Linked DNA regions of Pelodiscus sinensis. The protein of the gene in region 3 binds, or shares a complex with, the protein of the main gene of each other region. Links are inferred from orthologs where the notes say so. Each region holds a gene or a part of one and is shown on either strand. Other genes may lie near its edges. The genes, in order: PHF10, ACTL6B, SMARCC1 and SMARCD1.

Region 1 (7,881 bases), on a different chromosome or scaffold from region 3:
ATAGACAAATTCAGACTATAAATGAAGTGCAAAATTAAGTGCAGATAATCAGCTATCACTAGAAACTTTAATATTAGTATTGCTCTTTTTCTGCCAAAGCCTGTGGTGTTCAAAATGAGAGTAGAAATTAGTGAAAGATATTTACTTGATGCAGTCTTGTTTATTTAAAAAAAACTACACAAACATCCTGTTTCTCTAGATACAGAAGAAATAAAACAAGAAACAGCTTCTTTTGCTCACACCACCAAGGGCATTCTTTTCATGCCACACCTCAACACAAAAACTGCCCCTAGTTTCTTCAGGTCAGCCACCATGCTTCCAGACACACACACACACACAGATACACACACCCTCCTCAATACTCAGCAAAAGCTCCTGGGCCCATTCACACACTCCTTTTCTCTTATTTAGCAAAAGGAACAAGGAGTCCTGTGGCACCTTACTAACAGATGTATTGGAGCATAAGCTATCGTGGGCAAAGACTCACTTTGTCTTAGTTAGCAGTATATGCTCTTAGAGTTATGTTAACTGAAGGATGAATTTACACTTATCAATTTCAATACAGTTTTAACTCAACCCAAAACAAATTTTCATCCAGCTCATAACACAAGATTTTTTCCAGAGGAGATGGTCTAGTTCAGGGGTTTCCAAACTTTTTTCAAAGAGGGCCAGATTTGAAGAAGTGAACATGCGTGAGGGCCATCCCTGCACTCTCAGCCCCAAGGTGGAGGGCCCGCGGGGTCGGAGGCGGGCGGAGAGCGCAGGGCACGCCGGCCTCACGGCGGCCCGGGGGCAGGGCGAACCCGCAGCCGAGCGGGGGAGCGGGGCTGCGGACGTGCCCTACAGGGCAGGCTCTAGGACCGCGGAGGCCATGGGCGGCGGCGGCGGCGGTGCGGCCAGAAGCGGCGCGCTGGGTGCGCCAGTTCCAAAGAGCGCCGGGGAGCCAGGAGAGGGGGAGGAAGCGGGGGCCGTATTAAACCGGAATACGGGCCGCAATTGGCCCGCGGGCCGGACTTTGGACATGCCTGGTCTAGTTCAACCATAGCTATTAGACTTGGGAAAAAAGGAGCTAGGATACACAGATCAAATCAAACCAATGATCAAAATTAGAGATGTAAGTGATTAGTTGACTATCCAATAAGCATATTGGATAGTCGACTAGTGACTTGACTAGTAGCACCCCTCCGCCCGCTGTCTCTATTAGAGAGAGGCAGCAAGAAGGGGAGGAGGAAGAGCAGGAGCCAGCGCTGGGAGGAACTGGCTTAAAAGCCAGTTCCTCCCAGCACAGGGGGCAGGGCAAGGAGAGCACAGTGGAGAACTGGTGCAGGGTTCTTGCTACATTTCAAAAGAAGCAGCACTGTGGGAGTAGAGGGCAAGGGAGGGGGGACCTCAAGCAGTCAGCCCTGTGCTTCCTACTTTTGAAATGTACAAATGCCCTCCTCAGTCTGCTTGACTCCCCCACACACGCTTTGCTTTTGAAATGTACAAGAGCCCCAGGTGAGGGGAGGCTCTTGCACATTTCAAAATCAGGAATTGCAGGCCAGCAGGGGACTGCTTGTGTCCCCTGCTTGCCCTCTGCTCCCACAGCACTTCTGACTTTGAAACATAGCAAGAGCCATCAGGGCTCTTGCTACATTTCAAAGGCAAAGGTGCCCTTATTGACTGAGGGTACATCTACACTTGCTCCCTAGTTCGAACTAGGGATGCAAATGTAGGTGACCAAAATTGCTAATGAAGCGGGGATTTAAATGTCCTGCACTTCATTAGCATGATCTTGCCAGCATGTTACTCTGCTCAACAGCTGATTCGAACCAGGAAGTGCACGAGGAGTAACGTTAATTCAAACCAAGGGGTTTGGTTCGAACGCGTTCTGGCACGCACTTCCTGGGTCTAATCAGCTGTTGAGCGGAGTTAACGTGCCAGCCAGATCATGCTAATGAAGCGCAGGATATTTAAATCCCCGCTTCATTAGCAATTTTGGTCACCTACATTTGCATCCCTAGTTCGAACTAGGGAGCAAGTGTAGATGTACCCTAACTGAATAGCTGCTGAAAATTGCATAGACTATTCGATTAGTTGATTAAACTAAATTTATCAGTCTTAACCAAAATGATCCTTTTTGGACTTAAATCTAATACTCTATTCTCAGTTCTTCCATGCACTCCCTGTATGACCAGTCCACCTTCTGTGCACTTTTGTTTCTCCATCTGTATAAATGAGATGATATTTAACCTCCTAGGTACTGAATAAAAGTACTCTGTATTATTATTAGGCCTTTTTAGACCACTTGCAAGCTTGAGTTATCCAAGATACTTTCAGACAGCATTTGCTAAGGTCACCTCTGAATCTGAAGGAAGGGGAGATGCAGGAAACAGCTGCACATCACTGGAAAGACCCGTTGCAAAGATACTAGCCACTGCTCATCTCTGGCCCACGGGGGCGGCTTTCAGCTTCCTGCGAGATTGGCCAGTCCCAAACCTAGAAACTGGTCAACTTCCAGGCCAGGAAGCCAACCCTGGAGGAGCCCCGGGAGCTGTATCTCCTTTGCCCGGGCTTAGCCCTTCTGGCGAGAAGGCTGAGGAGCTGTAGCCCGTTCGCGGGAAGAGGCATCCAGGGCTCCCTATCCCACCCCCGGGCCACGGCTCCCTACGGGGCTGGGGTCTCTGTGGGCCGGGGGGGGGGCGATGGGAACAGGCCGGGCGGGAGGTAGCTGCGCTACGGGCTGGCTCCCGCCCGGTCACTTCCCCCATAACACGGGGGGGGGAGGGTTGGTCTGATTCCCCCCGCGCGCTCCCGGGAGAATCCCGCCGCGCAGGGGGAGGGGCTGCCAGCCCGGCCCGCCTCTCTCACCTTCAGGGACTGGGCCCCGGGCGTGGCCGGGTCGCTGTCACAGACCCGCGGGGACAGAACCGCCGCCATAGCCGCCGCCCGCTCCCTCCGCTGGGCGGGGCGAGGAGCCGCAGCGTCCCCGGCGTCGCGCCCGCCCCGCCCCCTGCTGGCCGGACCCGCAGTGCGCCCCGCCCACCCGACACCCCCCTCTCGGAGTCACCTCCCCTCGGCCCTCCCCCGTGTGCCTGCGCCCCCTTCCCCGCGGCCCCGCCCACCAGGGCCTTCCCCACGTGCCTGCGCACCCCCCAGTGCCTGCGCCCCTTTTCTCTCTCACTCCCGCTTTCTAATTAGCCTCTCCCGGCGGATCCCCAGCGGCCTTTACTGGGGGGGGGGGTGTTAAACCAGTCTCAGCCCTAAGGCCAAGCCCTGAGACTGTATCACCAGACACAATTTCTAAGTAAAAGACCCCTCACTCCTGGTCTGCCACAACGCTCCAATGTCCAGGCTTGCCAGATGGTTTCAACAAAAATACCAGACACGCTTGACATTCCATCACAATCTGCATTACAGCTGATTTAGAAAATACCCGACATTTCTATTTTCTCCATTTGTTTTCTGAACAGAAAACTCAAATACTGGACTGTCCCGTTCAAAACCGGACACCTGGCAACCCTACCAATGTCAGGGTTTGGTTTTTGTTTTTTCATGCACAGGTTCTCCCTTTCTCATGGGCTGTGTCCAGACTCAGGGGTTTTTTCGAAAAAAGTAGCCTTTTTTCGAAAAAACTTCCCCTGCGTCCAGACTCAAGCCGCGTTCTTTCTAAATTAATTCGAAAGAACGCGGCTTTTCTTTCGATGGCGGTAAACCTCATTTCACGAGGAAGAACGCCTTCTTTCGAAAGTTCCTCTTTCGAAAGAAGGCGTTCTTCAATGTAAATAGGGCTTCTTCAAAAGAGAGCATCCAGACTCACTGGATGCTTTCTTTCGAAAAAGCAAGCCGCTTTTTTGAAATTTCTCCGTGCAGTCTAGACGCTCTCTTTCAAAAGAGGCTCTTTCGAAAGATGCTTTCGAAAGAGCCTCTTTCGAAAGAAGCCTGCAGTCTAGACATAGCCATGGAGAGTTCTTTTGCCAGAACACCAGCGAGGGTTAGTTAACTTTACATATAAATTGTTGTCAACCCTAACTGCTCAGTCCTATGACAAGGGGCTACAGCTGTCAGCCCAAGAAGTGGTAGAGGAGACCCCCAGGTAGAGCCAGACCAAGCCCAGGCGGTGCCTCAAGTGAGGAGCATTTTGGCACAGTCTCCATTTGTTAAGCTTTTGACTTGTTTTTAATGCATTTGTAGCCAGTTTTATGACTCTGATGCACAATTTGCATGTGTGGTTTATCGCTGTCTAATCCGATAATTTTTGCATGCTAGGATTCAACAAAACTTAAGTTACGTCCACACTGCAATCGTATTCTTTCTAAAGTAAATTGAAAGAACAGAGAGGTTTTTCCAACAGCGGTACTCCTCTTTCTACGAGGAAGAACACCTTTTCCGAAAGAGCTGTTTCGGAAAAAGGCATGTGTTGATGAAGAGGGGGCATTTCTTTTGAAAGAAAAGGTCTCCAGGAAATAACATAGGCCCAGGTGGACACTCCATCCATACTAATCACAACTCTATAGTTCCTGTCTCGTGCCAGCTCTTAAAGCTGCAGACACCTGGGCCAAGCCTTGTGGCAGGAAGCTGGCCATGGAGCAGCACCCTTATCGCACGGCTCTGTCTGCCACACACTGGGAGGTATGGCAGAGCAACAAGCCCCCCAAGATCCCTATAGCCCTCACAGGGAGCAGCATCAGGGCTCCCAAGGCCCAGCATAGGGCAACAAATGCTACGCACCCTCCTGGTCTGGGGCAGAAATCCTGTCCCTCCTCAAGTTGTGGGGGGAGGAGGCCATCCTGCAGGATCCCCACTCCCAGAAGCAGAATGCTGACATATATGGCCAGATGGCTCTAGCCAAGAGGGGACACCACCCCCACACTTTGGACCAAGTCAGGAGCAAGGTCAAGGAAGCTGCGCCAAGGATATGCCAGAGACAGGGAGCACAGCTCTTGCTCTGGAGTAGGACCTCACACATGTCCAAATTACAAGGAGCTGCACAGAATCCTGGGGGATGGTGAAGCCCTTTGCCCACCCATAATGGTGGACTCAGGACTCAAGACACCTGTGGTCACCTAGTGTAGCCAGACAGGAACCACCCTGTAACATCCATCTTTGCTGGCCTGGAAGCATGCAGGGCACACAGACCAGTAAAACAGCATAGTCTTTGAAAGCCTTGGACAGAAGGCCCGAATATGCAGGCTGCTGTGACCCTGGATGGCTGTAAACAGAGATACGCTAATTGCTGACCAAGAGGCTGCCGAGGAGTGCCCGTGACTGAAACCTATATTGATACGAACACACACTGTCCAGGGGGCAGGAATCTCCCGCCCAGTAAAAAAATGTCCAGTACTCACAATTTAGTTATCTCTCTTGCAAGTGTAAATTAAGTTGAAACTCCCTTGTAGGAACTGGCGTCACAAAGACAGGCCAACACAATTTGGCATCTTAGATAAGAAAGAAGATACGGGCCCCTATGGCTACGTCTAGACTGGCACGATTTTCCGGAAATGCTTTTAACGGAAAAGTTTTCCATTAAAAGCATTTTCGGAACAGAGCGTCTAGATTGGCACAGATGCTTTTCCGCAAAAGCACTTTTTGCGGAAAAGCGTCCGTGGCCAATCTAGACACGCTTTTCCGCAAAAAAGCCCCGATGGCCATTTTTGCAATCAGGGCTTTTTTACAGAAAACAAATCTCAGCTGTCTACACTGGCCCTTTTGTGCAAAAGTTTTGCACCAAAGGGACTTTTGCCTGAATGGGAGCAGCATAGTATTTCCGCAAAAAGCACTGATTTCTTACAGTAGGAAGTCAGTGCTTTTGTGGAAATTCAAGCGGTCAGTGTAGACAGCTGGCAAGTTTTTCCGGAAAAGCAGCTGATTTTCTGGAAACACTGGCCAGTCTAGACACAGTCTAACTGTTTAAGGTTTAACCTGACTCCTTCAGTTGCTGTAACAGAACCAAGCACAATTTAAAAGAACTTCAGCCGGTCATAAGGGACAGATATAGGAAGAGCTGGGGCATTTGGATCGTGTTGCTTCCAGGGGACAGATCCGTAGGGGCATCTCTCAGCCTTCCCTAGGCTGCCCGCTGCGAAGGGATCCTGTATCTTAGCAGTTAAAATCTGAGATGTAATAAGCTCTTCCTATAAACTCTGGGGCATCTGTCAGCCTGTTGGTTGACCTCCACGAAGGGATCCCAATCCTAGCAGACTAAGACACAGATGTTAAACTCCTCGGGGCGCCCGTCAGTCTCTCCTAGACTGCCCACTGCGACGGGGTCTTGTGTGCCAGCAGTTGAAGACTCGGGTGTAACACACACACACACACTGCCCTGACCATCTGCTGACATCTAGCCGGAGCTCCTTGATGAGGAGGAGGACAAACAGCAGCTGCAGGATGAAGAGGACACAGCCAGTACAATCACCCTCACCCTGGAGCCAGTACCCCAAGCCCTGGACATCTCCCAGGTATCCTCTGATGACGGGGAGGGATCATCAGGTGAGTGCTCAGTTTTACACACATACCAGGGCAGGAGAGGGAGGTGCAGAGGGGATGAGGAGCGATCGTCGCTCAGCCTGGGCAGTGTGCTTCACTCTGTGCACGTGCAAGCACATGCAGCGGCAGTGTGTACCACATGGCCTCAGAAGCTAGCCCTGGAGCACCCATGGTCTCGTGCTCACAGGCTGTGTGGAGGACCCACACACGTCTGACCAATGGGGAACTCCCTCCCACCACCAGACACTGCTGGAAGCAGACTGAGCACACGGGCACAGGCACAGGCACAACCCTGAGCACTTTGAGGGGTGCCACATACAGCACACGACCATGCTTGCATGCTCAAGGAACCATCTGCTCTTGTGGATGGCACTGCCAGGTCAGCTGTGTATGCAGCCCCCATGGAAGGCCAGGCTGCTCCAGGCCCCTCTCCCGCCCATGGGATCCCACTGTTGCTGGACACTTCCCTTGCCAGCTTGTCTGTGAAGATGGAGTGGGGTGGTGGGAAGCGTGGTCCCTGGGGCTCGTCCTGCAGTGAAGGCCACACATGGCCTGGCTCACGAGACATCACCGTCCTCTGGCCCAAGGACTGTTAGTCTCTGCTCACACAGGAGGGCATGGCCTCATGCACAGTGTCTGCTTGGATGACTGACCACCTCTCCCTCTTTTCCTCCACAGCTGGACTAGCCATCACTGAGGGGTGCTCCATGCCATCAGAGGCAGCTGCCCGATCCCGCTGGAGTTGCAAGTGCAGGAGGGTCCATGAGGACCTCATGAGGGAACACGTGGCCATCCTGCGTGACATGCAATGAACCCTGGCCCAAAAGGTCTGGGATGAAGCCAAGTGGTACAACTGAATGTGGGACCAGCTTGTGCAGCAGGGCAAAAACTTGTGTACCTCCATCCGGGAAGTGATGGCACACTTGGCTCCTGTTCCCATTGTAGCCCTCCCCACTCTAGCCCCTTTTCCCACTCTAGCTCCCCCTGCCATGCCTATGCCCCCTCCGCTGACCCCCCCAGCCATCTCGGACCCCACTCCAGCCCTCCAAGTTTGCCAAGGTCCCCAGCAGAGGTGTAGCAAAGTGGGGAGGAAGGGGGACGGTTGCCCCCGGGCATCATGCTAGGGGGGCACCGGGCTGGGGTGGGACCAGAGCTCACACTGCTCTGGCCCACGTAACGCTTTCAACCAGACCCAGGAGCTGCTGGCTAAGTGCTGCCAGCTCTCTACATACTGTGAGCTGAAGCAGCTAAGCTGGGTGGGAGGAGCAGTGGTTTTAATGGTAAGTTCCTCCGGTGCCTGGCTCTCCGGGGGGGGGGGGGGGGGATTTGACTGGGGGAGTGCTCCCAGCACTGGGGGTGCCTTGCTCTGGGGGAGGAGGGGTGAGTGCATGGTGGGGGCTGGCTTTGGGGCAGGGG
Region 2 (6,985 bases), on a different chromosome or scaffold from region 3:
CTGACTCCATGGTCGGTCCCACTGATCCTGCCTGCCAGCTGCAATCCATCCCTACCCTCTTGCCCACCCACTGGCCCCACCTACTCCAGCCTCTCCCTTGGGCACCTCCACAGACCCAGCCTTCCCTTATCCTTTCCCCCCAAGCTGTGGTTCTGGGGAGCTGATTCCTCTACACACCCCCCCAAGCACAGGGGCCTGAAGAAGGGGAAGAGGCTCACCAGGTGGTGTCCCCGGAGCTGGTGATGATTTGATTGTCATCGAGGAAGCGGCAGCAGGAGAGGTAACCTTCCGGGGGGGACAGCAAGATGCTGATTAGCTGGGAGCCGGGGTACTGGCAGGAGCGCATATCCAGGAATCTGGGTTCCCAGCCCCCACGCTGTAACCACCAGACCCCTGTTCCCTCCCCGAGGGAGGAGTAAATCCTAGCAGTCGAGGGCTCACCCGTGTGCCCTGGCAGTTCTCGGCTGACACGGACGTTCCCCTCCCGGGTTTTCAGGCTGTAGATGGAACAGATGTTATCCAGGCCCCCGCAGGCCACATAGTTCCCTGATGGGGCATAAGCGCAAGTCATGACCCAGGACGAACGCAGTGGGATGGCGTGGACCTGGGGAAAAGGAGAAATTACTCTACCTACCCAGGTATGAAGCCAAATGTCCCCTTCCCTAGCCCATCTAAGCCAGTATCCAGCCTGCTGCCACTTCCAGGCTCATCTACCCTGCTATCCTGGGGGTACCCCCCCAACCTCTCTTCCTCAGTATCCCACCTGCTGTCTCTCCCCCCTCTACCCTGGGACCCATCTAAATCTACACCTGCTTCCTCCCCCCTCCCCCACCCAGAGGCCCTTTACCCTGGTATCCTCCCTGCCAAATCCATTCAGCCCATCTATTCCAGTATCCTGTCAGCTGCCCCCTTCCTGGGACCCTTTACCCCAGTATCTCACCAGTCAACTCCCTCACCTTGTTCGTGGTGTAACTGTCCCAGATGATGAGTTTCCCGTCCTGCGATGCACTGACCAGCAGCCTAAGAGGCAGAGAGCCCTCTGATGAGCCAGAGTGGCACTGCGCTGTGGGTGGTGGCTCAAAATACTCCCATTATTTGCTATCAGCCCTTCCCCTGCCTTGCCCCTCCCAGTAACTAGGCCAAGGCCAATCAAAACCAAAGCGACCCCCCCCCCCCCCCCCCAGGCCAATGGAGAAAATGATCCTCCTCTCCTGGCCACGAACACTGAGCCAGGTTCCCTCTCTAACCAGATGCTCTGCCCCAGAGGTGGCTGCATCTCAGCCTGAGAGAGAGGTCCCTGTATAACTAGATGCCCTGCCCTAGAGGTGGCCACATCAGAGTGCTAGGTGAAGGATGCCCATATAGCTCGCTCATCCCAGCTCTCACCTGGAGTCAGTGCCCCAGTGCATGGCATAGATTTTCGCCAGGTGGCCTCGCAGGGTGCGTCGTGTCCGCATCTGGATACGTCCCACAGGGTCCATCCCGGCTGTGATCTAGGGGAGGGGCGGACAGGTGAGGCATGGACCCGCACCCAGCCAGGGAACCTGGAGGCAGGGGAAAGGGGCTGCATGGGGATGCCAGTAACAGGCCCAACACTGCTCACCTGGCTCAGAGTGGAGTCACCACATGCCTTCCTCGCATCCTGGGGGGGGGAGGGAGACCTTGGGTTAAAATCTGAACTGCCCAATACCCCCCTTGCTTTAACCCTACTCCCAGAGCCAGGGACAGAACTCGGGTGTCGACTCCTAGTGCCCCCATGTGGACAGCAGGAAGCGCTACCCCCCCCCCAAAAAAACAGTAGCCATAAAGACCCCCATGGGGGAGAAGTCTGGCAGCCAGGACTCCTGGGTTCAGCATTGGGGGCTCCAACCCCCATGGGCTCCACACACCCGGATCTGGTTCCGCAGCTGCTCTGCCTCCTGCCGAAGCTGCTCCAGCTCACTCATGGCTGTGGTGGGGGGGCAGCGCTGGCGCCACGGCTCCGCTCAGCTGGCGGGAACCTGCACAGAGGAGGAATGCTTAGTGGGATATGGGGCCCCTAGACCTGCTGTGGAGAGTTCTGGCTCCCAGCCCTACCAGGCCCAACCCAGTCCCCATTCCCCTCCCAGAGCCAGGGAAGAGAACTCAGGAGCTCTGGCTCCCAAGCATTATTTTTCCCATTCTCTTGGCCAGTCATGGGGCCAGAGTGGCTGAGGGGGGGCAGGTGTCTGGCACTGCGGATTCTCTGTGTTCCTTCCAGTGTGTTACAGCATCTGGGGGGCGGGGGGGGGGGGCGCTGAGGACAATCAGTAGTTGCTGTGGTGATGGGAGAGGCTTAGCCCCAGCTCCCTTCAACTGATGGTTGCCAAGGCAACAGGATAGGAGACTCAGACAAGATTTAGGATGGAGCAAAAATGGGGGGCAGGGAACAGGATAGCAGGGTGCTCCCACCAGCCACTGACTGGCTGGGAGGCAGGCAGTGGGTGAGTGTGGCCCGGGGCATAGCAGATTGTCCGAACTGGGCATAACTGCTGATCCCATTTGCTTCCGTAAGAAATTCCACAGCCAGTAAATGCCCCCCAGGGCAATGGCACTATCCTGGACTCCTGGGTCCCCGGCCCGGAAGGGGGGGGAAGGGCTGGGAGCCCCGGACTCCTGGGTCCCCGGCCCGGAAGGGGGGGGGAAGGGCCGGCAGCCCCGGACTCCTGGGTCCCCGGCCCGGAAGGGGGGGGAAGGGCCGGCAGCCCCGGACTCCTGGGTCCCCGGCCCGGAAGGGGGGGGGAAGGGCCGGCAGCCCCGGACTCCTGGGTCCCCGGCCCGGAAGGGGGGGGGGGGGGGGAGGGCCGGCAGCCCCGGACTCCTGGGTCCCCGGCCCGGAAGGGGGGGGGGGGGGGAGGGCCGGCAGCCCCGGACTCCTGGGTCCCCGGCCCGGAAGGGGGGGGAAGGGCCGGCAGCCCCGGACTCCTGGGTCCCCGGCCCGGAAGGGGGGGGGGAAGGGCCGGCAGCCCCGGACTCCTGGGTCCCCGGCCCGGAAGGGGGGGGGGGAAGGGCCGGCAGCCCCGGACTCCTGGGTCCCCGGCCCGGAAGGGGGGGGGGGAAGGGCCGGCAGCCCCGGACTCCTGGGTCCCCGGCCCGGAAGGGGGGGGGGGAAGGGCCGGCAGCCCCGGACTCCTGGGTCCCCGGCCCGGAAGGGGGGGGGGGAAGGGCCGGGAGCCCCGGACTCCTGGGTCCCCGGCCCGGAAGGGGGGGGGGAGGGGCCGGCAGCCCCGGACTCCTGGGTCCCCGGCCCGGAAGGGGGGGGGGGAAGGGCCGGCAGCCCCGGACTCCTGGGTCCCCGGCCCGGAAGGGGGGGGGGGAAGGGCCGGCAGCCCCGGACTCCTGGGTCCCCGGCCCGGAAGGGGGGGGGGGGAAGGGCCGGCAGCCCCGGAATCCTGGGTCCCCGGCCCGGAAGGGGGGGGGGGGGGAAGGGCCGGCAGCCCCGGACTCCTGGGTCCCCGGCCCGGAAGGGGGGGGGGGAAGGGCCGGCAGCCCCGGACTCCTGGGTCCCCGGCCCGGAAGGGGGGGGGGGAAGGGCCGGGAGCCCCGGACTCCTGGGTCCCCGGCCCGGAAGGGGGGGGAAGGGCCGGCAGCCCCGGACTCCTGGGTTCTCTCCCCAGCAGGGGGGCTGTTTTCCCGGTGCGGGGCTGCGAGGGGGGAAGCGCAGCGTGGGCAGCTCTCCGGGCCGCAGCTGGGACGGGAGCCTGGGCCCGCTCGTGACTGCGCCCAGCCCCTGCCGATCTGACAGCTGGGGCCCCCTTCTCCTCCCTCCTACCTGGCGCAGCCTGCTTCTGGGGGGCCGGGGACTCCTTTCCGCGGCCGCTCCCCTGGGCGGAAGGATCCGGATCGGGCTCCGCTTCGGCCCTCAGCGGCGGAGCGATCCGCCCCCCCCCGCCTGCTAGCCCCGGTGATGCGGCTGCGGGCGGCCGCGCCCAGAGCCCGAGACGCACCAAATGAAAGGGGCGGGGGAGGAATGAGGGAGAAACCATCTACCATATAGAGGGGTGCTATGGAATGGGAGATACCAACCCACTTCCTGGTCCACCGGGTGAGACCACCTTCCATATGAGGGGTGCTATGGATTCGTTTCTGTGGTGAGAGTGAATTCATCCTTTAATGGGCTAAACCAATTCACTTCCCAGCCTAGGGAGGTTGTGGGATCTGGAGATATTTAAGAGCAGGTTGGACAGACGCTTGTCAGGGACGGTCTAGAATGGTGCTGGGTCCTGCCACGAGGGTAGGGAACTGGTCTTTTCCAGTTCTAGTGTTCTCTGATTACATTCTATGAGTGTGAGACCATTTACTATAGGGAGGGGGCGGTCAGAGGTGGAAGAAACCAATGCACTTCAAGGGGGGAGGTGAGACTACCCACTGTATTTAGAAGGGGGCTAACAATAGGATACACCAAATCGATTCCGGGGTGACGTGAGACCGATGCTCCAATGAGGAAAAGGAGAAAATGACCCATACCAACTCTCTAGGGAGACCCGTCAGAGCACCCCCCCCCCCAAGTAGGAACGGGAGATACCAACTCTCTCTGAGAAGGGGCAGGCAGGGTTCAGTCCTGGATGGGTGGAGAACAAGCAGGGGAGGTTGCTCATTTCCTGGGGGGCGGAGGAGGGAGGGAGACAACTCAGCTTCTGGGGGGGGGGGGAGGAGGGAGAGAGGAAATAAAGATGGGAGATACCAGGACAGGGCGAGACCAACTAATGAAAGCAGAGGGGAGAGATGAGTTGTACCAACCCTGATGTTCTCTGCAATGGGTCAGTCAAACTAGGAAGGGGGAATCAACTCGCAGTCCCCCCTGCTCTAACCCACCTGCCTCCCAGAGAACCCAGGAGTCCTGACTCCCAGCCCCCGCCCCTGCCCTGACCCATCAGCCCCCACTCTCCTCCCAGCAAACCCAGGCGTCCGGGCTGCCAGCCTCCCTTGCTCTAACCACTAACCCAGGAGTCCTGACTCTCAGCCCTCCCCTCCCCTCTGATCCACCAGCCCCCACTCCCCTCCTAGAACCAGGAGCGAACCCAGGAGTCCTGACTCTGAACCCCTCCTGAATTCCTGTACATCCTAGTTCAGGATCTGTCCCCTCCTCTAGGTGAATTTTGCTGTTTTGGAACAACCCAGGGCATGGAATTGCAGAGTGGGGGGAGGTTGAAAGGGGCTGGCTAGAGGAGGTGGGAGCATGTATGGTTGGATGAAGAGGGGCAGGGATGGATGTTTGGATAATAATTTTTGGAGAGGTACCTGGAGTAATTAAATAGAATGTGGGATCTGGTGGGTTAGAGTGGGGTGGAGGGCTGGGAGCCAGGACTCCTGGGTTCTCTCCCTGACTCTGGGAGGGGAATAATGCTTGCTACTTGAGAACTAACCCCCTCCCCAGACACTAATCACCTACCTGCCTCTTTAAGAAAACCCCAGATTATCACTTATTGTCTATTTTGTTAACCAATCAGGAGCTGCCTCGGTTGGGGGGGTGCAGCCTGTGATTGGCTGAGGTGGAAGCTCCCCTCTACGTCTCTCTCTATAGCCCCCCTCCCCTCCACGGTCGCTGTCCAGTCGCCTGGGTGCTGAATAGCCCCCTGCACCCAGCCTCCCCTACATCCCGGACCTCCCTCAAGGATCTGTACGGGGCAGGGGGCGTAGCAGAGCCAGGATGAGTGGGGGTGTCTATGGAGGAGGTAAGGGATCCTCTTTAAGGCTGCCCCCCTTTTTTCTTCACAGCATTGGCACGTGACCCACAGGGGGTGCTCTGCTGCAGGGAGGGGCTAGAGTCAGCAGGGGGTACTCTCCCCTTGGAATCAGGGCTGGCCCCTTTTCTTGGCGCATGAACATTAGCATCTGAGCAAATTCCAGATCCAGACATTGTCTGTTGGAGCGGGGATTGTCTGTGCCTCTGTGCAGCATTGCAGAGTGGTCAGTGCACCACCCCGGCAGTTGGCACATCTCAGTGCCAAGCAAGGGGTCCCTGTGTAACCAGCCACCCCGCTCCAGAGGTAGCTGCATCTCAGCTCTGAGTGAAGGGTCCCTGGATAACCAGATACACTGTCCCAGAGGTGGCCACATCTCAGTGCTGGGCGAGGGGTCCTTGTCCCAGAGGTGGCTGCATAGGTGATTGGTAGTGACTGTTTCTATCTCTCTCCCAGATGAGGTTGGAGCTCTTGTTTTTGACATCGGCTCATTTTCAGTGCGAGCTGGTTATGCTGGAGAAGACTGCCCAAAGGTACATCCAGGCATTCCTGGAACCCCCCTCAACTTTCCCCTATGACCGCGATGTCCAACATGTTAGCCACTAGCCACATGTGGCTAATTTGGCTGGTTGAGTGTGGTATGTGGCTTGAGCAATGTGACTATTTGGCTGGTTGAGTGTGGCTAGTTGTCTATAGCAGTAGCCCGTATAGTGCTTCAGAACTGGTTGGACACCACGGCCCTATGAAACCCTCCTATTCTGGGGTTGGATGGGAACCAGCGCCCCCTAGAGGAGACAAGCCCCATACTCCATTCCCTGCCCCCTTGAGCCAGCCAGTCCCTTGCCCTGGAGCCGGGTGGGAGCCGGTGCCCGTAGAGACAAGCCCTGCATGTCACCCTCTTGCCCCATTGCAGGCAGATTTCCCCACCACAGTGGGACTTTTGGCCCCGGAAGAGGCGGCGCTGGAGCTGGATGGGGAGAAGGAGAAGAAGCCAGGGAAGGTTTATTACATCGATACCAACTCGCTGCATGTCCCGCGGGAGAACACAGAAGTCCTGTCGCCCCTCAAGAATGGCATGAGTGAGGCTTGGGCTCCCGGGACTCCTCCCCTCCTACATGGGACAACCTGCTTTGCCCCAGCCACAGGGCCCCCCAGCCATGGCCCCTCAACCAGTGTCCCCACCAGATTCCCATGGCATTTTCCCCACACCCCCTGCTATGCACTGCCATGGTCCCTCCATCTGACCCACTGCTATGCCCATGCTGCAGACCCATCATACCCCA
Region 3 (6,904 bases):
TGAAGAACTTTCTTTTATTAGTTTTAAACTTGCTAACTATTAATTTCATTTGGTGTCCTCTAGTTCTTCTATTATGGGAACTAATAAATAACTTTTCTTTATTTACCCTCTCCACACCACTCATGATTTTATATACCTCCATCATATCCCCCTTAGTCTCCTCTTTTCTAAACTGAAAAGTCCCAGTCGCTTTAACCTCTCTTCATATGGGAAGCTATTGGAATCAAAAGCTTCAGTGGTACAGGCAGTCCCCGACTTACGCGGATCCGACTTATGTCGGATCCGCAGTTACGAACGGGGCTGCCCCAGAGTACACAGACTGCGGGACCTCGCGGTCCTGCCGCCCGTGTACTCTGGGGCTTTGCTCTGCGTCTCCCTGGTCTGCAGACCAGGAAGACGCAGAGCAAAGCCGCGGAGGGGCTCGGGCAGCGGGGCAGCCCCGCTGCCCGAGGCCCCCCCCCCCCACCCGCGCGGCTTTGCAAAGCGCGGGGAAGCCGGCGGAGGGGCAGTCCAGGCACGCCTGGGGTGCCTCGCTGCCGGAGCCCCCCCCCCCCCCCCCCGCGGCTTTGCAAAGCCGCGGGGAAGCCGGCGGCGGGGCAGTCCAGGCGCGCCTGGGTTGCCTCGCTGCCCGAGCCCCCCCGCGGCTTTGCAAAGCCGCGGGGGGGGGGGCTCGGGCAGCGAGGCACCCCAGGCGCGCCTGGACTGCCCCGCCGCCAGCTTCCCCGCGCTTTGCAAAGCCGCGGGGGGGGGGGGGGCGCCTCGGGCAGCGGGGCATCCCAGGCGCGCCTGGGCTGCTCCGCTGCCGGCGTCCTCAGAGGCGCTCCCCGTCTCCCTGGTCTGCTGGTCTCCAGCAGACCAGGGAGACGGGGAGCAAAGCCGCGGAGGACCCAGGCGGCGGGACGCGCAGCATCTCGGTCCGCCGCCCGAGTCTTCCTGGTCTGCTGGGGTGGGGGGGGCGCAGCTAGTACGCCCCCCCCCCCCCCCCCAGCAGACTAGGCTTTTCTCCGGACGCCTGTGGCAGAGCAGCTGGGGTGCTGCCGGTTGGTCCCGCAGCGCCGCTCTGGGTGCTACTGGTGCAACCCAGCAGCACCCCAGCTGCTCTGGTCCTGATTCAGCCGCTGCTGGTCAGTTTCAGCAGCGGCTGAATCAGGACACCTGGGGCAGAGCAGATGGGGTGCTGCTGGGTTGCTCCAGTAGTGCCGAGGAGCGGCGCTACTGGAGCAACCCAGCAGCACCCCAGCTGCTCTGCCCCAGGCGTCCCCAAGTCAGCTTCTGCTGAAACTGACCAGCGCTGACTACAGGAAGCCTGAGGCAGAGTTGCTCTGCCCCAGGCTTCCTGGAATCAGCTGCTGATCAGTTTCAGCAGCAGCTAACTTGGGGACGCTTGGGGTTCTTAAATTGATTCTGTATGTAAGTCAGAACTGGCGGTCAGTTTCAGCAGCGGCTGAATCTGGACACCAGTTCCGACTTACATACAGATTCAACTTAAGAACAAACCTACAGTCCCTATCTTGTACGTAACCCGGGGACTGCCTGTATTTGAAAAAGACAACTGGGGGCCAACTTGCCTTCTGCCTCTCAGGGAAATGAAGTACAGAAGTCAAGGGGAGTGCTCTTTTATTGACTTAGTTTGTTTTCACCAAATCTGCTGAACTGACATCAAATCTGGCATCAATCACAGCAGTGCCAATTTAGCAGCAACTATAGACAAGCTAAATGTAGAATGAATGATGAGAATGAACGAGTGAAAAGTTAAGACCCTAGTATTCGGCATAATGGATGGTCTGAATAGGAGAAGCAGACCCCACAGACAATGAGTAGATGATATAGTAGATTGCGGTGGAGCTAGTCTACAGAAACTAAGCCACTTTGCACTGGACAGGGAAAGATGGAAGGAAATAGTGAAGGAGGCATCGCACATCAACAGGCACTGAGCCCATGGTTGATGATGATGATAGACAAGCCACAAGTTACTACAAAGAGTTCTTTCCCAGATAGCTGCCTGGTGGATCTTGCCCACATTCTCAGAGGCAAACTGATCACTGTATTTGGGGTCAGGAAGGAATATTTCCCTGGGTCAGATTGGAGCAAGTTTGGTGGTTTTTGCCTTCCTCTACACTGTAGTCTACAGCATACAGCATGGGTCACTTGCAGGTTTAAACTAGCATAACTGATGGATTCTCTGTAACTTGAAATCTTTAAACTATACTTTAAGGACGTCAGTAGCTCAGCCAGCAAGCACACCAGTGGGTGGTTAAGAATCCATGGCCTGCAGGAGGATCAGAGTAGAATGATCACAATAATCCCATCTGACCTCAGAGCAACAATTCCCAAATGTTTTTTGGTCATGCTCCCTTCCTTGGTCCATTATTCCCTTTGAGCTGTGGCCAGGAGGGTGGTGGGTGCTGCAGTTGGAGCCACAGCTAAGGACTGGCTGGGAACAGAGTGGGAGTGGAGCAGAGGGCCAGGCTGGGTGGTGCTCCCTGAGCACTGTCCCACCTGCAAAGTTCCTCTGGGCCCCCTTAAAGGGTCATGCCATGGAGTTTGGGGACCACTGCCTTACACTCAATGAAACTGGACACCAGCAGTGGAGGAGAGTCAGTCCAGAGAGGAACCATGGGGGGGGGGGAGGGGAGGGAGAGCAGGACTCTGACCTGAGCAGAGATGATTCAGCCTGGTTGGGTGTGACCTAGTGGGGGCGCTGTCTACTTTTGTCATCCTCTGTTTCTGCTGGGCTGCATTGGTTAGGTGTGATTCCCAGGGCTCACTCCAGATGTGTATTGGGCCCAGACACCTGGGGAGCCAGACTCGGAAGATAACAACTCTTAAGGACATCGGTGGGGGCTGACACCAGGCTGGGAACTAGGCCTGGGAGTTGGGTCAGCCTCAGCTGGGCTAGGATGAGTGTGGGGGCTTACAGCAGGGAAGGGGGGTGCAGGGCCCAGGACCCCCCCCTCCCCCCGAGGAAAAAGGCTGTTTGCCCTCCATGCCGGTGGTAACATCGAGCCTGTGCTACGTTCCTGACAATCAATAAACCCTTGTACTGTACCAGCTGGCTGGGAGTCACATCTGGCCGTGGGTGGGGGTGCAGGGTCAGGACCCCCCCCCGTGGTGGGGGAGAGCAGGGCCCCGCCCTGAGCAGAGAGGGTTGGGCAGGGAGGCTGGGATTAGGGGAGCGGTCAGGACAGGGAGCGTGAGGGACAGACGAGTCTGGGCCAGGCCTAGAACCCAGCAGCCCCCCCCCCCCCCCCCCCCCCCCCCCCGCTTCCTGGCCAGGATAACAACCTTGCGGCGCTCTCAGCACAGGAGCGAGCGGCCTGCGGTCGGAGCCGACGCCGTGGCTGGCGCGCGCGGGCGGCCTCTGAGGAGAGCGGAACGCAGCGCCAGGCGGGCGTCGCGCGCCCTCGCGAGGCGGGAAAAGCGACGCGGGAGCCACTGCGGGCACGAGCGCAGGCGCAGCGACGGCTGGAAGAGACGCTGGGCGGCGAAGCGACAACGAGGCTGGCAGCCCCCCCCCCGGCCATGGAAATTCAAGCCACACTCTCCCCACCAGCGTCCACGCGCCGCATGCGCAAAGCGCGGCACGAGCGGCTTGGCCCACTAAGCGCATGCGTACAGACTTAGTGCGGTGCGGCCCGTGCCGGGCGGTTGAGATTTGACGCATGCGTGCACAGCAGGGTTGGGGGGAGGGGCGTGCGGTCTGCCTGGACCTCACGAGCGAAGAGAAAAGTGGGAGTCTGGCGCATGCGCAGAGCTAGCGGGCTCGTGTGGCGCGTGCGTTGAGCGCGGCCCAGGGTGCCGACGCAGGAGCGGTGGCGCCCGGGGAGAACCGGCGCGTGCACAGCGGTGGCGGGGGCAGGGAGCGGGGTTCCCGAGCATGCTCCAAGGGGCGGAGCGTGCGGGGCTCGGCGCATGCGCGGCGGGAGGCGAGTGGGAGGCGCAGGGCCGCGGTGGCGGCGCTCGGCGAGGGTAACAATGGCAGCGGCAGTGACGGCAGGCGGCGGGCCCGGCCCCGGCGCGGCGGCGGGGCTGGCGGCGCTGTCCGTGGCGCGGCGGAAGGACGGCGGCCCCACGGGCAAGTTCTGGGAGAGCCCGGAGACGGTGTCCCAGCTGGACGCGGTGCGGGTCTGGCTGGGGAAGCACTACAAGAAGGTGCGGCCCGGCCGCGGGGACTGGGGCGCTGGGGGGCGGGGCGGCCCGTGGGGCGCTGAGGGGGGCGGGGAAGCGCCAGAGGAATGGGGGGGTAGAGGAAGGGGCGGCCCGGCCCGCGGGGACTGGGGCGCTGGGGGGCGGGGCAGGGGGCGCTGAGGGGGGCGGGGAAGCGCCAGAGGAATGGGGTTAGGGGGTGAGGAAGGGGCGGCCCGGCCCGCGGGGACTGGGGCGCTGAGGGGGCGGGGAAGCGCCAGAGGAATGGGGGGGGGTGGAGGAAGGGGCGGCCCGGCCCGCGGGGACTGGGGCGCTGGGGGGCGGGGCGCTGAGGGCGGCCCGTGGGGCGCTGAGGGGGGCGGGGAAGCGCCAGAAGAATGGGGGGGGGTGGAGGAAGGGGCGGCCCGGCCCGCGGGGACTGGGGCGCTGAGGGGCGCGGGGCGGGGCGGCCCGTGGGGAAGCGCCAGAGGAATGGGGGGGGGGGTGAGGAAGGGGCGGCCCGGCCCGCGGGGACTGGGGCGCTGAGGGGCGGGGCGGCCCGTGGGGAAGCGCCAGAGGAATGGGGTTAGGGGGTGAGGAAGGGGCGGCCCGGCCCGCGAGGCGCTGAGGGGGGCAACCCGAGGGAAGCGCTCCAGGAAGGGGCGGCGGGGCGCCCCAGCTAGGCCGGGAGCGGTCACAAAGGGCCAGGCGCTCCTTTGCGGGGGGGGGGGGGGGGCGGCTTACCGGCCAACGGGCGGGTCCCGGGTAACGGGGCCGTTTCCCAGGCTGCGCGGCTCCGACCCTTCCCCCCCCCCCCCCCCCCCCCCCCGGACTGGAAGTCTCCAAAATCAGTTCGAGCCGGTTGCGCGACTTCAGGGCGAGCCCCCCCGCCCCCCCCCCGCATCTGGGTCTTCGCCGCGGTGTGTGCGCGCAGCTGTGGGCACGTGCGCCGCGGGCTGGCCTGTCACCGGGCACTCGCGGGGCCCCAGCCCAACGAGGGGCGGTTGTGCCGAGCGTCGTCACACACTGGCGAGAAACGGGGGGGGGGGGGTTAAGTTGCCCCCTTTAAAAAAAAAAAAAACCTGCATTGCTGATGCGTTTGAGTTTAGGTGCTTGTGCGGCCTAAGTGACTGTAGTATCCGAATATCTTCATACACTCCTATGGGAGGAGGAGGTGAGGTGCTGTTAACCCATTTTACAGATGAGGATTGACTCAGAATCACTTGCCCAAGGCCTTGCAGAGAGTCTGTGATAGAGTAGGGAACTGAACCCAGGTTTCCTGGCTAATACTCTAACAGTCTGGATCATCCTTCTTTTCTATAATCTTATGGGGTTCAGGGCTCTGTTTCCTAAATCTAAAAGAACAAGAACTGAAAAGTTTGCTCAGTGATCACTTTTGTGAGGAATGTGGCTTCATTTGCATTCAGACTTCTGCTGGTTTGACTAATGGTGTTTAAGTCAGTGTATTTAAACCAGAGCAACCCCCCTGTGTAGCTTTATTTTATTTTGAGTGACTAATATTGATTTGGGTGAAGCAGATTCCTTATGGAATCTTTGAAACCAAAATAAAATTGTCTACACAGGATTTTGCTCTGGTTTAACAAAATTGTTTTTAAACTGATTTGTAATGCCAGTATAGCTTTTTGATTATATATCTTTGTGGCTAGTATTTTTGTAAAGTCAAACTCCTGCAATTTAAATAAAAACATTTGCAAATGCCTGCTAAAATGTAATTTAAACATGCTAATCAGATTCTTTTTAAATAAAGTTTTAAACGCTTAATTATGTCTCTTGGTTTTGTTATGCTTTTCCCTTTTCCTTTCTTACTCCAGGTCTTTGTCTATAATAGCATGTAAAGTTTTAACTTGTCCTTGCATTATCTTTTCCAGTGTCTCTTTTTTCACCCCATGTTTTTCCATTCATTTCATTCTCTATCTTATTTTCTTTTTACTTCTCTCTATATTAAAAGTTGCAGAGGGGTACCATGTAGTTAGTAACTTGAAACAACTTTTAAGAACAAGTAGACCTGTAGCACCTTTTGTTCATCTCTAAGGTGCCACAGGTCTACTTGGGCTTTTTTTTTTTAAGTTCTCTCCATATTGTATTTCTCTAGTTCTATCCCATCAGCTTCTCTCTCTTTCTGTGCCACATTTCATGCGGGCCATTGAAGTTTTACCAAATTCTTAGCACCAGAGGCCTTCTAGCCAAAGTCCCAGATGAGTGTTGAGGAATATTATCTAGGATGTAGCCCAAATAAGCAATCACATATTTCTCCATCCTTCACCCAAGCTGCTGGGAAAGGGAATTAAGTGTGAGGTTCCTCCAGGATTTCTGGGTCCTGGAAGAAAGGAGCATTCTCTCACTCAGTTCTCCAAGATTTCCAGATCAGAGTCCCTAGCTATTGTGAGAGAAGATTATTTATCCACCCACTTATAATAGCCTTAGTTTGAGTCCTCCATCCTCAGTTATCCAATTTGTGCCTGCCCCCTTGCTGTTCAGAACTTTACACAAGCAACTATCAAAGTTGATATTAACTCAGTTCTTTTTAATTTCACTGTTGTACATAAGATTCTAGATTGCAGCTATGGAAACTAGCAAGAATGTTTTTCACTCTGCTATAGTTTAAGACTCACATCAGGAGAGGCATTGGATCCATCATTGTGCAGGCTTAAGACAGTAATGCATTGATTATATGTGAAGGTAATTTTAACCATAATGGCCAGATACTTAATGATTTTCTTACATGAAAATTTAGATTCTGCAAAGTTGTTGGGAATCT
Region 4 (7,460 bases), on a different chromosome or scaffold from region 3:
AGCAGAGGAAGCATGAATAAAAACCCTCACTCACCCTCTGAGGTAGAATCTTGTCAGCCATTTTCTTTTTCTTAGCGCTGTTTAAAGAAGGATACATGTATTAAGCGGGCAACCAGTTTGTTTCTCAAACAGCCAGAACACAAGAAAAGAAGCACAGGTGTGGGTTTATTCTCAGTCTTGGGACTCCGCTATGAGGGTACTTGCTCCATAACAACTGGCTCAGTCCAGTTCTCTCTTTCAAAGACTGTTTATTGTGACTATCAGTCTCTATACAGACACCTTCCTTACCCATCCCTTCCTCCCCAAGGCCAAAGCAGGACTGAAGCTCAGAAGCTCCTGCAAGACCAAGACCACCTATTATTTGAAGTATCCCAACAGATATAGATAGCTGGGGTTGCCCTGAGTTTGGAGAGGTGTTCGGTTAAATATTTATTTTGGCACAAAATGACTCTCGGGTTTGATTAAATATTAAGCTGGATTTTTTAACAGATAAGTATTTTAAGCCAGGCAATACTGTTGATATGTTAAGTAATAAAAACTCTTGCTCTTGAATAGGAGCAAAATATTATTATCTGAAGCTCCCATCACCCAGCGAAGTAGCTGCACAAAAAGTTTAAGTCAGTTTGAGCCAAAACAATTAAAGAAGAAAGTCCATGAGTATGCTGGGAGCAAGGGACACAGAATATGTCTACACTTGCACCCTCTGTTGAGAGAGGGATGCAAATGCACCTGAGCAAAATTGCAAATGAAGCACTGTGAATTTCCCACACTTCATTTGCATATTAATGTTATGGTGCTATTTCAAAACAACAAAAGCTGTGTAGACGCGGTTATTTAGAAAGAAAAACCTTCTTCCGAAATAACTGGTAAACCTCGTTGTAGGAGGAATAAGGGTTATTTTGCTCAGCTGCATTTATATCCCTCTCTTGAAAGAGGGTGCGAGTGTAGACATACTCACACAGAAGTCCCAGATGTTATGACCCAAACAACAAAGCAATGTGCTGATCTCTGATATCAGTGGTAAGCATACGAATTACTGAATATTGGCCAGTCCATTTTTGTAATGTGGCCCACTAGCATCCAAAGGGGTTTCTTTGGATATGATGGACAAAAATGTATGATTTGATCCCTATTTTCTGGAGGTTCATAAGTGGCCTATTTCAATTTAGATACTGCTTTCCTCGTGAGCATTTTTCTTTCTGAACCACCTTAGATTATGTCTGCTTGACATGGATATTGAGAGTCTCCCTAGCACTTTTGTAAGGGTCGGTGGGGTGGATGCACTGGTGTTTTGGACAAAATCTGCCTGACTTTGAATAACTATTCAGCAATGTGCTGTTAATTGGTTTGTTCCAGCCTTCTGCTTTAGAGAGGGCTGGATTTTGGTGGTATTATAATTATAGAACTTGTGAAGGAATTTGGTGTCCTTCAGGAGGAGTCACTAAGTGGTCACAGAAAAGATAAATCAACCTCATAATGAGGTGAGAAATCTGGCCTCTTACTTGTGGTTACGATTCTGAACCGCTTGCTGCTGGACCTGCTGGATTTGCTGAGGAGCTGGCCTCTTGCGGGACTGATCCAAACCAGACTGGGCCATTCCAGGCCGGACTGAGGGACTCCCACCATATCCTGGGGGACCCATGGAGGGTCCCTGAGGTGTCATGCGGCTGCCTGGCAACATGCCAGGGCGCTGAGGAGAGAAACACAGGGATCTGGTCTCCATCCAACCCAAACTTTGGAAAGATGGAGACTCACCAACAATGGGCTGTTAAGTCCTAAGTACAAGTAGGCTACCAAGCCATGTCTGCTGGGAGCACAAAGCCATGTGACTCATGGGCTTGCTTAGATGGACTCAGATCACAACAGGGCTAGCAGCTCCAGAATGGGATGCTTCCAACCAGGAATAAACGGGATTGTAACATATAAACCATAACCAGCAAAGCTGGCTATGAAGGACGATTCTTAATTTTACACACCTCTCCCCACTGTAGGCCTTATGTCCAAACCCCTGCCTACAATTCACTTCCACTCAGTGAATCATCACTCCTGACATTCCCATAAGATACTCCAACACTCACCCTTGCCTCAGCTCACTCATTTTGTCTAGGCTGCCTCTCCTCTCTCCTTGTTCAGCTCTTAGCTCCCCTCTTTCTACTCAATCTTCTCTTTAGGGTCACATTTTAAAATGAGAGTAACCCTTACTCAGTGATAGACATATAGCCGTGTTAGTCTGGTGTAGCTGAAACAAAATACAGGACTCTATGTAGCACTTTAAAGACTAATAAACCATCTTGTTAGTCTTTAAAGTGCTACATAGTCCTGTATTTTATTTCACCCTTACTCAGGGCATCCCTGATGACATTCTCACCCTGTTGTGCCCCCAATTTTACCCAAACATTTCCTCCTTACCCTCAAATACACCTCCCCATAGTTGGCCAAGTCACCTCACCATGCACTGAGGCTGTTTTCTCCCCTTGCCCTGAGCCCCAGCTTGCTGTCATTTCACCCCACATCCTCCTTCACCCCAGAGCCCTGGACTCACCGGGCCTCCTATGCCCCCAAGACACGAGGGTGCTCAGACCCCTCCCTCCGCCCCATTTACTGCCCCCACTTCAGACAAAGACCAAGCCCGGCCACCCCCTGACTCACCCTCAGGGACCTTCCTCCCTTCCTATTGTTCCCTTAGGGGCACCCCAGCCCAAACCCTTCCCCCTCCTGACCCCTCCCCCATCCCTCCTCCGCCTCCATCTCCGGCCCCTCCCTCTCCCCCGCTTCTATCCCCTCCCCCACTCCTGCCTCCAGCCCCCCCCCCCGTCTTACCGGGTAGGCGGCGCCCGGCAGGGGGGAGCGGTACAGGCCTTGCCCGGGAGCCGGGCCCATGCGGACGGGGGGCCCCGGGGTGCCCGGCCCCAGCGCTCCGGCCCCCCCGCTGCCGCCGCTCGGAGTCACCGACTGGAAACCCGCCCGCGCCGCCATCTTCTCCCAGCACAAAGCGGGGGAGGGGAGCGGAACCGGAACCGGACCCCGACCGTAGAGCGCGCCGGGCAGAGCGGCGCCTGAGGAGCCATAGAGTGCGCGGGGAAGAGCTCCGAGAGAGGCGCGGGACGCAGGCTGCTCCCCCTGCCGCTGGGAGGCCGGAGCTGCAAGGGGCCGCGTGTCGTCTAGAGCCGTGTTTCTGAGCCTTTTTTATAAGTATCCTTTTCTATCCCTCTGTCTACCTAGATCCCCCCAGTACCTACAGTTTTCAGACACAACATTTTTTTCTACCCATTGCAACACATTTATTTAAGCAACTTAATTGGAGCTGGCTGGGTGATGACATTTCTGGGTGTCAAAAGTACAAAAACAATAAAGTGCTGTAAAACTTACAGCAAAAGTTCAGTTTTCTCCAAATTGCCATTGTGTTGACATACTCCTCAGGCTTCTCTTGGGTACCCCACAGGGGAAGGGTACTTGTGCCACTGGTGGGGAGAATGGTGCAGGCAGAGACTGTGCCTGGGGGCAGTGTGGTGTGGAGGCCTTCCAGATGGGCTGTGGGAGGCAGGCACCTTATCCACTGCGCCCCTGGAAGAGTCCCCCAACCTTCTGGCCTTCAGAGCCCCCCCCCATATCTGTCCTATGTCCCAAGGGTGCCAGGTCCATCCATTGCTAAGCTTGTGTTGGGGGGGGGGCTTGACCCCTGTGCTTCTGGTTCTGCAGGTAGGTATGTTATGCCCTGCACCACTGGAGGAGACCCCCAACCTCTCTACTTTTAGGGCCCCCCTTCTGTGTCCTTTGTTCCCATGATGCCAGCTCCATCCCTCGGGAAGCTGGTGGTGGATGTCCCCAGGGGCATGGGGGAGCACTCACCATGGTAACAAAGAAAGGATAAGGGAGGTCAGAAGGGAGGGAGGTTCAGGACCGTCTCCTGTGGTGCAGTGGATAAGTACCTGCCGCTGGAGCCAGAGGTACAGCACTTGAGCCCTGCCTCCCTGGGGACAGCCACCCCAGCTGTCTGAGGGATGGAACATGCAGCCTGGGAACAAAGGGGGCCCTGAAGGTAGGGAGGTTGGGGGCTCTATCCCGTAGCACAGTGGATAAAGTACCTGCCGCCAGAGGCTGAGGGCTCAAGTCCCACCCCCACCCAATGTGGGTTCACCCAACACAAGCTTGGCAGCAGATGGACCTGGCACAGAGAGGGACAGTGCCAGGGGCCTGCCTGGGGAACAGGAGGCCATGCTTGGCAAACAGAGGGCAGTGTAGAAAGGGGCAGGGGGCTGTGCTCATGAGGGAGGGAGAGGGACAGGGACCCACAAGCACTGATGCCCAGAGCACCCTGGCTGCACCAGCAACCATCACTCCTGCTGTTAATGTATCCTAACACAAACACAGGGAATGCAAGGCCATGAGGTAGTTGGGGCTGGACCTTTATGGAGCAGAAGGCTGGACTAGGTTCTTCCAACCCTCATCTGTGAGTGAGTCTACGAGAAAGTTCTTCCAGCAGAGCCTAGCCCAGCTCTCCATGCGCTGTGTGCCCTAGGGATGGGCTGGGGCACCCTGGGGGGCAGGCCTGCGCACGTGCCATGTGCCCGGGGGCAGCGCTGCGCGCCTGGGCCCAGGGCACCAAAAAGGCTCAGGCCGGCCCTGGGCTTGTGTCCCACGCTGCCCCAGCCAAAGCTGGCTGCCTGCAGGTTCCACAGTCCAGATTTCTACCTCCCAGGGGCAAGGCAGATAATGGCTTCTAATCCACTCTGTCTGCGGCAGTAATGGAGCAGCTGGACAGGTCCACAGCAGAGTCTTAACTGAATGAGAGGAGCCCCAGGAAGCCAAAGTCCATTAGTGCCAGAGGGCCTCTTGAAGGGACGCTTGGGACCCTCTAATCTGATTGGCTCCAGGCCTGGAATATCCGGTGGCAAATTTGCTGAGCACCATTTAATTAAGTAGGAGGCTAATGTGATGCTGCTTTGTAGGGGCAGGAAGTCCTCTGTGGCTGAGGTGTGCTGGGCTTGTTTCCATACACACTGCCCTGGAGTGGGACCACAGGGCTGCACCATGGGAGGGGCCATAAAGCCAGCTTCCTGTGGTGCTGTGCATGACAGACAAGGTATTAGCACTGGGGCCTTGGCCAAACTCCTTCCTGTCTCCCTAACTGCCCACTGCAGTTTCTACCAGCTTCCTCTTTGCTTCCTGGCTGTGTGGCAGCTTTGTGAGGAGGCCAGGTCTTAGCAGCGGGAAGCCCATCCCTGCATACAGACTGGGGCCTGGCGCTGAAGAGTGCCCTTTCAGCAGGCCGGGAGCAGCATTCCCTTAAAGGGTGCGTTTACACAGCAGCTTCATTCCGGACCAACTGATGTTATTCCAAAATAACAAAGAGTTTGTCTACTCGACAAGCCATTATCATATATATAGTAGCCCAGTGTCTGTGTCTGTAACGCCGAAATGCTGGCTGTTCCCTCTGGGGGGGCGCTATTTCCTGAAATGCTGGCTGTTCCTCTGGGTATGTCTACACTACAGCACTAATTCGAACTAACTTAATTCGAATTAGTTAATTCGAACTAAGTTAATTCGAATTAGTGCATCTAGACCTAAAAACTAATTCAAATTAGCGTTTTGCTAATTCAAAACAGCATATCTACATTGAGTGGACCCTGAACTGAAGTTAAGGCTGGCCGGAAGCAGTGCCAGCAGGGCATCAGGTTAGGACTTAGGGTGTGGAGCTGCTGCCTCAGGCTAGCTGAGGGCTGTGCTTAAAGGGACCCAACCCCCACCCCGGACAGACAGTTCTCAGGGTTCCCTGCTTGCTTGTCTAACTCGATGAGGGACAGCAAAGCAGTCCTGTCTTGGAGTGCCCTGAATGCCCACACTCGGCACATCACAGCACTTGGCCATCAGACCGGCTGCACTTGCCGCAGGCTGCCATCCGGGGGCGGGGGGTCAATCGGGGGGCTGCAGGAGAGCTTCCACCCCGAGGAGCCCGCAGAGCCACCCCAGTCCTCTTCTTTAATACACCTGTAACTGTTTAAGCTTTAACCTGACTCCTGCAGTTGCTGTAACAGAACCAAGCACAATTTAAAAGAACTCCAGCTGGTCATAGGGCAGACACAGTGAGGGAGAGCTGGGCGTTTGGATCGTGTTGCCTCCAGGGGACAGATCCGTAGGGGCATCTGTCAGCCTTCCATAGGTTGCCTGCTGCAAAGGGACCCTCCCCTAGTCCTAGCAGCTAAAGACACGGGTATAATAAGCTCTCCCTGCAAACTTTGGGGCATCTATCAGCCTGTTGGCTGCCCGCTGTGAAGGGACCCCGGTCCTAGCGGCTAAAGACATGGACATAAAACTTTGGGGCACCCATCGGCCTTCCCTAGGCCGCCTGCTGCGAAGGAACCTTGAGTTCTAGCAGTTGAAGACTCGGGTGTACAGGGGCAGATGACCATTTTGCAGGGCCCAGGGCAGCACAATTTTGCGGGGCCCCCCTTTGCCACAGCGCATGTGCGTAGCTTCTTGAAGCCCGGGGCGGTCGCCCCACTCGCCCTGCCCTGTATCCGCCCCTGTGGGTGTATAACACACACACCACACACTGCCCTGACCATTGGCTGACACTCCCCCGTGGCGGCCCAGCTGAGTGGTGCAGAAGTCAGCTGAGCACCACGGCGGGTGGCAAAGGGGGGCCCCGCAAAATTGTGCTGCCCTGGGCCCTGCAAAATGGTCATCTGCCCCTGTACACCCGAGTCTTCAACTGCTAGAACTCAAGGTGGTGACGTGCGGCGTGACAGCAGCTCCAGGCCCCGCCTCCTGGCCGTGAATGTCACCGCCCCACCTCCCTTTGCCTACCACCATGGTGCTCGGCTGACTTTTGCACTGCTCAGCCGGACTGCTGCGGGGGAGCAAGCGGCCGTTTGGGCTCTGCACCCCACACGCACCCTGAACGAGAGGCAGGAGGGGGAGAAGAAAAAGAGAGAGACAGAGAGAGAGGCAGGAGGCAGAGGAGAGCTGAGAGAGAGAGAGGAGGAGGCAGTAGGAGAAGGAGAGAGAGAGAGAGAGAGAGAGCGGAGTGCAGGGAACTCTACCAGATAGAAAGAGCTGGCCTTAATGCAATTCAGTTTACCATGTGTTAATTAGTAACACAGGATTTAAAAAAAAATCATTAAGATCAGAGTTTTAGATATCTGCAACATTCCAAAACATTCCGTTAAGATAATATTTTTCTTTTTTGCCTTAAGCCATTAACACAGGGGTGGGCAATAATTTTTGATGGGGGGGGGCACTCCAAGAACTCGGTAAGTGGTTGAGGGCTGAGGAGGGGGTGCAGGACCTGGGAGGGGGTTGTGATCTGGAGTGCAGGAAGGGGTGCAGGGATTTGGGCTGTGACCAGGAATAGCAGATTGGGATGCAAGGTCTGAGAGGGGGTTGTGACCTGAGAAGGGGTGTAGGAGGGGGTGCAGTGTCTGGGAAGGTGTATGGGGGCTGGAGCAGGGGTGCAAAAG

What was found.
Region 1: SMARCC1 (region 3) and PHF10 share a complex: the UniProt entries of both Homo sapiens proteins name them as parts of the neural progenitors-specific chromatin remodeling complex. The link is inferred for Pelodiscus sinensis from reciprocal best matches to the Homo sapiens genes SMARCC1 and PHF10.
Region 2: SMARCC1 (region 3) and ACTL6B share a complex: the UniProt entries of both Homo sapiens proteins name them as parts of the BAF complex. The link is inferred for Pelodiscus sinensis from reciprocal best matches to the Homo sapiens genes SMARCC1 and ACTL6B.
Region 4: SMARCC1 (region 3) and SMARCD1 share a complex: the UniProt entries of both Homo sapiens proteins name them as parts of the BAF complex. The link is inferred for Pelodiscus sinensis from reciprocal best matches to the Homo sapiens genes SMARCC1 and SMARCD1.

The regions. Positions count from the first base shown.
Region 1 is NC_134713.1:121,613,174-121,621,054, forward strand, and holds the start of PHF10 (PHD finger protein 10), read right to left. Parts: upstream 3,005-7,881; 5' UTR 2,920-3,004; coding exon 2,851-2,919; intron 1-2,850. UniProt on the Homo sapiens protein: Involved in transcription activity regulation by chromatin remodeling. Belongs to the neural progenitors-specific chromatin remodeling complex (npBAF complex) and is required for the proliferation of neural progenitors.
Region 2 is NC_134734.1:9,007,174-9,014,158, forward strand, and holds the start of ACTL6B (actin-like protein 6B), read left to right. Parts: upstream 1-3,979; 5' UTR 3,980-4,109; intron 4,110-4,142; exon of another isoform or gene 4,143-4,762; coding exon of another isoform or gene 4,763-4,778; intron 4,779-4,784; exon of another isoform or gene 4,785-5,110; intron 5,111-5,468; exon of another isoform or gene 5,469-5,542; 5' UTR 5,543-5,668; coding exon 5,669-5,693; intron 5,694-6,158; coding exon 6,159-6,235; intron 6,236-6,615; coding exon 6,616-6,781; intron 6,782-6,985. Other genes in the region: GNB2 (guanine nucleotide-binding protein G(I)/G(S)/G(T) subunit beta-2), read right to left, coding at 219-285, 442-604, 957-1,020, 1,387-1,493, 1,604-1,642, 1,890-1,946. UniProt on the Homo sapiens protein: Involved in transcriptional activation and repression of select genes by chromatin remodeling (alteration of DNA-nucleosome topology).
Region 3 is NC_134712.1:256,776,547-256,783,450, reverse strand, and holds the start of SMARCC1 (SWI/SNF complex subunit SMARCC1), read left to right. Parts: upstream 1-3,896; 5' UTR 3,897-3,912; coding exon 3,913-4,152; intron 4,153-6,904. UniProt on the Homo sapiens protein: Involved in transcriptional activation and repression of select genes by chromatin remodeling (alteration of DNA-nucleosome topology).
Region 4 is NC_134729.1:6,453,498-6,460,957, forward strand, and holds the start of SMARCD1 (SWI/SNF-related matrix-associated actin-dependent regulator of chromatin subfamily D member 1), read right to left. Parts: upstream 3,016-7,460; 5' UTR 2,977-3,015; coding exon 2,821-2,976; intron 1,691-2,820; coding exon 1,503-1,690; intron 78-1,502; coding exon 35-77; intron 1-34. UniProt on the Homo sapiens protein: Involved in transcriptional activation and repression of select genes by chromatin remodeling (alteration of DNA-nucleosome topology).